Linked DNA regions of Bombyx mori. The protein of the gene in region 1 interacts with the protein of each later gene in a pairwise test. Links are inferred from orthologs where the notes say so. Each region holds a gene or a part of one and is shown in the gene's direction. Other genes may lie near its edges.

The links. The genes of interacting proteins can lie anywhere in the genome.
Region 2: the proteins of transcription elongation factor SPT5 (region 1) and rotamase Pin1 interact in binary tests that used the Homo sapiens proteins (3 or more experiments, as listed by UniProt). The link is inferred for Bombyx mori from reciprocal best matches to the Homo sapiens genes SUPT5H and PIN1.

The regions. Positions count from the first base shown.
Region 1 is NC_085110.1:18,085,697-18,089,840, reverse strand, and holds the start of transcription elongation factor SPT5, read left to right. Parts: upstream 1-1,250; 5' UTR 1,251-1,410; coding exon 1,411-1,610; intron 1,611-1,693; coding exon 1,694-1,772; intron 1,773-1,857; coding exon 1,858-1,989; intron 1,990-2,763; coding exon 2,764-4,144. UniProt on the Homo sapiens protein: Component of the DRB sensitivity-inducing factor complex (DSIF complex), which regulates mRNA processing and transcription elongation by RNA polymerase II.
Region 2 is NC_085107.1:9,297,246-9,301,561, forward strand, and holds the start of rotamase Pin1, read left to right. Parts: upstream 1-1,423; 5' UTR 1,424-1,482; intron 1,483-1,583; 5' UTR 1,584-1,630; coding exon 1,631-1,694; intron 1,695-3,652; coding exon 3,653-3,877; intron 3,878-4,144; coding exon 4,145-4,316. UniProt on the Homo sapiens protein: Peptidyl-prolyl cis/trans isomerase (PPIase) that binds to and isomerizes specific phosphorylated Ser/Thr-Pro (pSer/Thr-Pro) motifs.

The DNA.
Region 1 (4,144 bases):
GTCTGATAAAACACAAAAGTAAGCCATCAGTTTTAGTAACATAATTATTCTGACAGGAACGCGAAAAGAGAAGTTTGTGGTTTTACTGTGAAACATCTCTATGACGAGTCGTCATGTGCAAGCAACAGTTTCTTAATATTAATGTTTTCTTTTTCATTATTCCACATGGATTTTCTGTCTTATAATATCCTTGCATCTATACCCATACAAAATTATATCAATGCTTTACATCTGCCAGCCTAGCCGTCCCGGAATGGAAATTTTTATATGCAAAATTTGTTAGATTTGGGATCAAATAAAGTAGCTCTTCTTCTAAAATTATAAAGCTTAGAATTTTCGGCGAATAAAAAGAAGTTTTTAAGTTGAACACAAAATAACGAAAACTTAAACTAGTGCAAGTTAAAAGAGTGCAAATTTTTTTGTGGATCAAATTTGAAGGCCCTTCTAAAACTCCATACATATACTCATTTAGCTTTAAAAACATATATTATGCGTGTAACTCACACGTGGTAGAAGTGAAATCTTCAAAAATTTTGGCTTCAAGTTAATGTAAAATTTCAGGGAGAGGATAATTATGTATGTTTTAAAATAGTAATGTTCATAGTGATACAAAGTTTGATATTTATTTTACACTTTATTCGTTTAAATTACATAGATTTATTCAATATGTATTAAGTACGAATATTAGGTACGAAGCAGAGCACAAAGAGAACCACGAATTTAAGAAACACTAATGCTACTTCATTTTCTCCCACGTTAAATCTTAAAAATTTAAGTGTCTGTCTCTTTCTACTATCGCTTTTTCTGTTCATCGACTTTCGAATCACAACGATGATAAAGAAGCTTTCACTTAAAAAAGACAATAACATTTTTTTTGCAATAGCAGTTTAAAACTGTTGGTGACAAACGTGTTGCGCACTTTACTCGTATTATTAGTTTATCAAGGTAACATGAACAAAAATAAGTTTGTGGAATAGAATTTTAAATAGACGTATTCCTACCGTTAGTACACCGAAATAAGGTCTAAAAGGAACATGACTGAATGATTTACATTTATAAAGAAAAAAATTATAGACATGGGATTAAAATGCAATGAGAGTTTTTTTTGTAAATTTGGCCTTAATTTATAGCAGAAAACAATTTTTTAATTAGAATTGCGTTTTATTTTAATCAGAAATGGTTTGAGAAGTGCAAAAAATAGGTACCTAGCATATTTTGTGGTTTTTTCTTCGCGGCGAGGGTAGATAATCAGTTAACCTAGGGCAGATTATCTATTTTCTCAATGGTCACACTATAAAAGTATAATCTATGGGTCACACTGTTTCGTGACGTTTGTTGCGTGTTCGTTTTAAAGAAATAAGTTTAGTAAATATTACCTAAATGGTTCGAATGCATTCGTTTTAAGTAGTAATGTCGGATTCGGAAGGTAGTAACTATTCGGGGAGTGGGTCCGAGGCAGGCAGTGCTGTATCAAAACAATCACATCGCAGCGCTGCATCGAATCGGTCGGCAAGATCGCGTTCTATCTCTCGATCAAGGTCCAGGTCGCGTTCTGGAAGCCGTAGCCCCTCTAGGACTCCATCCCGCTCACGATCTAGGTCTCGCTCTAGGTAAAATCCGGGTAGTCTAAGTAAATAATAAGTTTTCCGTGTATCTTTTCACTTGACTTTATGAGGGTTGTTTTGTTTCACAGAAGTCGTTCAGTAGGTTCAGATGCAAGTAAAAATAGAGATGATGAAGCCAAAGAAGCATCTGGCGATGAAGAAGTGGAGGTAACGCATAAATAACATTTAATATTGAAATTGTAGATAACTTTCTGTTTGGGCTATACAATATTTTATGAAACTGTATCAACAGGATGAACAAGAGCCCGAAGGTGAGGATTTGGTTGATTCTGAGGAGTATGAAGAAGACGAAGAAGAGGAGAGGCTGAGGAAGAAAAGAAAAAAGGACAGTCGTTATGGTGGATTCATTATTGACGAAGCTGAGGTATGCAATTGAAATTGGTTTTCATTTGTCTATGCTACGAAATTTGAGGTTAATATAAAAAACGAGATTACAAAGAAAAGTTTAAAGAAATTTTTTTTTTGTCATTTTCATATATAAAGTGTGATTAATTAATGCTACTTTTCATTTGATGTGGACTTTTCTGCATTATTGTATATATAATTTTACCACACACTGTATCCGTGAATAATGCAGATTAAAGCTGTGTTATTAGTTATAATTTAGCTAACTGTGACAATATAATTTAGAACATTGCTACATAGTGTGCCTGCCTATTCACACAAAAATCATAATTCAACATAAGCCTTAGAGCTAAGATGAACGATTGAAGATTTACTATTTCATAAACAGTGTTTTAAGTCACTGCTACTACTACTACTCTCTTACTACCTTAGTTGATTTTGGCCACGGCGACCACTTCAAACTCCGTTTATAACTGTCACAGTGTGATGTGGCTGTGCTGTGGCTAACATAGCCGATCATATTCCTATGTCAACTATTGTATGTTATTTTTGTTGCCATATATTGGCTGTCAAATTTCTGTATTACTGTTCAGGCCTCAAGCCCTGTAGGGCTCATAGACATCACAAATTGCACTCATTAGCTCAAAACTTCAATAAAATGAGTAATTGAAGATACTGTATCAAATAGTGAGTAATACGAGTAATAGTGAATAGTAAATCATATAGTGAGTTCTTGAAAGAGCATAAAAAGTACTAAGTATATAAAATAAATTGAAATAACTTTATCTTGTAGGTGGATGATGAAGTTGATGAAGATGACGAATGGGAAGAGGGAGCCCAAGAAATGGGTATTGTAGGAAATGAAGTAGATGAAATTGGGCCAACAGCTAGAGAAATTGAAGGTCGAAGAAGAGGCACTAACCTTTGGGATTCACAGAAAGAGGAGGAGATTGAAGAATATCTTCGAAATAAGTATGCAGATGAATCAGCAGCCCTCAGACACTTTGGTGAAGGTGGAGAAGAGATGTCTGATGAAATAACTCAGCAAACTCTACTACCCGGTATCAAGGATCCAAATTTGTGGATGGTCAGATGTAGGATTGGAGAAGAGAAGGCTACTGTTTTACTTTTGATGCGAAAATTTATTGCTTTCCAATTCTCGGAAGAACCTTTTTTGATAAAGTCAGTTGTAGCACCAGAAGGAGTCAAAGGCTATGTGTACATAGAGGCTTTCAAGCAGACACATGTTAAAAACATTATAGACAAAGTGGGAACCCTTAAGTCTGGAGTGTGGAAACAAGAAATGGTGCCTATTAAGGAAATGACTGATGTTCTCAGAGTAGTCAAAAAGCAATCAGGACTTAAACCGAAACAATGGGTCAGATTAAAACGAGGTTTATACAAAGATGATATTGCTCAAGTTGACTATGTAGACTTGGCACAGAATCAAGTGCATTTGAAACTACTTCCTAGAATAGATTATACAAGACTGAGAGGAGCTTTAAGAACAGTACAGAGCGATAGTGAAGCAGCAAAGCGAAAGAAAAAGAGAAGGCCTCCTGCTAAACCCTTTGATCCAGAGGCAATCCGAGCGATCGGTGGAGAAGTTACTTCCGATGGTGATTTCCTCATATTTGAGGGCAATAGGTACTCTAGGAAAGGATTTCTGTATAAAAACTTTACAATGTCGGCGATACTGTCAGAAGGTGTCAAGCCTTCACTTACAGAGTTGGAAAGATTTGAAGAGCAACCGGAAGGTATCGATATTGAGTTGGCTGCTCCCGCCAAGGACGACCCTGCCGGCTTGCATTCCTTCTCCATGGGTGACAATGTGGAAGTCTGTACTGGAGATCTTGCGAACTTGCAGGCCCGCATCACTGCTATCGACGGTTCGATGATCACTGTCATGCCAAAACACGATGGTCTTAAGGACCCAATTGTCTTCCATCCGAATGAGTTGCGCAAGTACTTCAAAATGGGTGATCACGTGAAAGTGGTGGCTGGGCGTTACGAGGGCGACACAGGCCTCATAGTGCGCGTCGAACCGCACAGGGTCGTGCTTGTTTCCGACCTCACCATGCACGAGCTTGAGGTGCTGCCCCGTGACCTACAGCTCTGTTCAGACATGGCGACTGGCGTTGACTCCCTCGGACAGTTCCAGTGGGGAGACATGG
Region 2 (4,316 bases), on another chromosome or scaffold:
TCCTACTAGGCTGCACTAAAAGTATCGGGAATGGAATATTTCCACTGTTCCTGTCATATTAAAATATTTTTAATTGAAAACTCCTTGGTTTTAAAAATCGAATACCATTTATTTATTTAAAAAAAGATTCTCGGTCTTGTCACGAGGTTTTGTCAAACTTGTTTAGTCGTTGAGAAAATGGAATTGACTCGAGAAAATTCAAGAGCGATGATTTATTATGACTTTCGAAGTGGTTTAACACAAAAACAGTGTGTTGACCGGATGATTTCTGCATTTGGTGATGAAGCCCCATCCAAAACCCCATTTTAGCGCTGGTTTGCTGAGTTTCAACGTGGACGTGTCAAGCTTAGTGATGATCCCCGTCAAGGTCGTCCAAAAACTGCAGTCACCCAAGAAAACGTTGATGCTGTGCGTAAGCTGATTGAGGAAGATCGACATATGACATACCGCGAAATTCAGGCAACTTTAGACATTGGCATGAGTCAAATACAAATAATCTTGCATGAACAATTAGGTGTAAAAAAGTTGTTTTCCCGATGGATACCGCATTCGCTCTGTGAAGAGCAAAAAGCGGCTCGCGTTACTTTGTGCGTCAGAACTCTCGAAAGATTCCACGCAGGATCCTCAAATGCTGTATACAACATTGTATCAGGTGACGAATCCTGGATATACGCGTACGAACCCGAAACAAAAAACCAGTCACAAGTTTGGGTGTTCGAAAATGAGTTAAAGCCAACAAAAATTGTTCGTTCACGGAGTGTTGCAAAAAAAAAAGGTGGCCACGTTTGTCTCCAAAACCGGCCATGTTACGACTATTCCTCTTGAGGGACAAAGAACGGTTAATGCAGATTGGTATGCTAGTATTTGTTTGCCACAAGTCGTTTCTGAACTCCGTAAAGAGAACTGCAACCGCCGCATCATCCTCCATCACGACAATGAGAGTTCTCACACCGCGCACAGAACAAAAGAGTTTTTAGCAAGAAAACATAGAATTATTAGACCATCCGCCGTACAGCCCCGACCTAAGCCCTAATGATTTCTATACTTTCCCTAAAATAAAGAATAAATTGCGTGGACAGAGATTTTCATCACCTGAAGAAGCTGTGGACGCCTACAAAACGGCCATTTTAGAGACCCCAACTTCTGAATGGAATGGTTGCTTCAATGATTGGTTCCGTCGTATGGAAAAATGTGTCAAATTTCGCGGAGAATACTTCGAAAAGCAATAAATACATTTTTAAATAGTAATGTTGTCACTTCGTTAATTCCCGAAATTTTCAGTGCCGCCCTCGTTTAATATACACCTACTGTCAATTTCATTCGTTTTATTCATCGTCATAGACAATTTGTACCTACACTGAATTCAACAGTCAACTGAGTCAACTTTGCGTTTCATTCTCTAATATATTAAGTGTATAATCTATGCGTTTCATCATTTGTCTCAAAAGGTTCGTAACGTTAAGAATTTTCTTCTACAATTAAGTAAGTAGAAATGCTTTCCATAAAAAGATAGAGTTCTTAATAAATTCAGATATTTCAAGGATTAGGTTAAAATGGTATGATAAATATGTAACAATTTTCAGGAAAACGTAAAAACCTATTGGCGTTCCCGGCACAACGCACCAACGACATGGCTTCTACTCAAGAAGAAATTCTTCCTGAAGGATGGGAAGCTCGCAAGAGTAGAAGTACAGGTAAATTATGCGTTTGCAATTAATACCTATTATGTTTCTTTTGTTAAAATAACATAAACGATTAATCAAATTTCTAATCAATCAACCTAAATCAATAGAATGTTATTGATTTCTAAGATAAAATGGCAGACATTGAGTGTAAAATGTTGGTAGGTAGATTTATATTTCTCGGATCGATATCGAAACAACGAAGACCATCTATGTGTTTATATAAATTTCATTGAGAAATTGTTTTGATTATTATATAGTGATTACTAAAAACTACTTTCAAACGTTTTTATTTTTGAAGTGCTTCAGTGAGTTTTTATTAACACTATTTACTGTTGATTCGGCGTCTTACGAGCCCGCGCTGTAGGAACCACCAGCCTGCCTATTCTTGTTAAGTAGCTATTCCTTTTTGGTTTGTAGGGTGGGGCAGTCATACAATTGACATCGAGACTTGCACCTCGTGTGTGATGTGTGGCGCTGTTTACATTATGATATTTGATGAGCTCTGCAATGTTTGCAGTGGAAACCATTTAACATTAGTGTGTGTTTTTTAATGTTCTCCATAGCATATAAAAATTAACTCAAATTTGTATGCAGTTGGAACAACGCCCCTAGCGGCAAACGTAGGCAAAGTTTCCAACTCCATACAAACTTAAGTTAACTTTTACGCCATCGAGAATGTTATAAAACTCGCGTTAAGCACAAAGATTGACTGTGAGCTTGTCGACACATATATACATACACATAAAAAAGTATAAAAGAACTGGTTCACAATATTAAATATTCAATTTAAGGTTTTGGGTATCACAGCCATAGTTAAAAAAATAATATAAAAAGCTGTTGGCATAAATTTGACTATGCGACTATTATGTAATATTTTATAATAAATACTTATTTTACCTGTTTAATTTTGTATTCACATTTTACAATTTTAACTGTCTGAAAAATTATTATATATTGTATTGTTTTAATCCCTACCAGTTTATAATTATTGTAATTGGTATCAACAATGATGCACTTGTAACAGCAGATAAATAGTTGTGACCAATTCAAATGGTCATCTGGTCTTTGGCTGGGATTGCTTTTGCTATTGGAACCAGAAACTATAGATTATCCCTTTCTGGCTGAGCCTGTGCTCGCCCACCTGTCCTGGTGAAATTGGAAGGGCTCCAGGCCACCAGTATTACTTCCCAAAAAAGCTATAAATTACATATTTTTTCTTTTTTTTTATAAGTCGATTAAAGCTAACAGATCAGTACATAATTATACACTAAAATTTTATACTTCCCATACAATTTTCTTAAAAACAAATCCATGATACAAATATAAAGGGTTGAAATAAGTAATGGGAATAATGCCGTAAATAATGCACTTTACCAACGTGGTATACTTTACCATCATAGTAATAACTTGGACTGCCCAAACTGTGAAATCTATACTAATATTATAAAGATGAAGAATTTTTATATTTGTTTGAATATTCTAATCTCAGGACTTATTGGACTTAATTAAAAAAATGTTTCAGTGTTTAGCCCATTTATTGAGGAAGACTATAGGCTATATAACGTCACATTAAGACCAATACAAGTGCAACACTAATAAACAATGTTTCAAAAACGGGGTGTTTTCCTTTTGAGAGGTTCTGCTGGTTAAAGTTAGCCAAATGAATGAATGACAGAATTGTTATCTTTAAAAGTTCTGAAATAGTCTACGGTAGCATAATAATGTGTCCATATTTTAAGGTTGGCTCACTATAACCTTTTTTATGTCAACAAAATTCTAAAATGAAGCATTCTTTGTGAAGGTGTTATTATAAAGATAATATTAATCCTTATCTGTATCCTTATTATCCTTAACACCTATCCATACAATCTTCTTATGTATTAGTGAGAATTTGTCCTGTTCACTGACAGGATGGACTAACATGTGAGTCAATTTTATGCTGAAATTTAATAGTTGATTCATTTTAGGAATGACATACTATCTCAATAAGCATACAAAAAAGTCTCAATGGGAAAAACCGGGTGGACCAGCTTCTGATGATGATGATGAAGATGATGATGATGAGGGTGGTATTCCCAAGGAGGTAAGATGCAGCCACTTGCTTGTAAAACACAGTGGAAGCCGCCGACCATCCTCATGGCGTGAAGAGCATATTACACGTACTAAGGAGGAAGCTCTTGATATATTACAAGGCAAGATATTGAATTAATATAAATTTTATTTATTCCCATCATCAACGGCAAATACAAAATAAGAATCAAATAATTTCTTTAAAAAATAAAATATCTATTAAGTTTAAACTTAATTGCTTTAAAAAAACACTTGTCTGTTCACTGTTGGAAGATTATTCTCAATGCATAATGCAAAATACAAATTAAATACATAGTAAAATATAGCTTTTTTTCTCTGTGCAAAATTAAGTCACTAAAAATAACATTTGAAAGTATTATTATTTTCAGAGTATCGCCGTAAAATCATTGACAGAGAAGCTAAATTTGAAGAGCTGGCAAGTACATATTCTGATTGTTCATCAGCAAAACGTGATGGGGATTTGGGTCGTTTCAAGAAAGGTCAAATGCAGAAACCATTTGAAGACGTCGCATTTTCCTTGAAAATAGGACAATTGAGCCA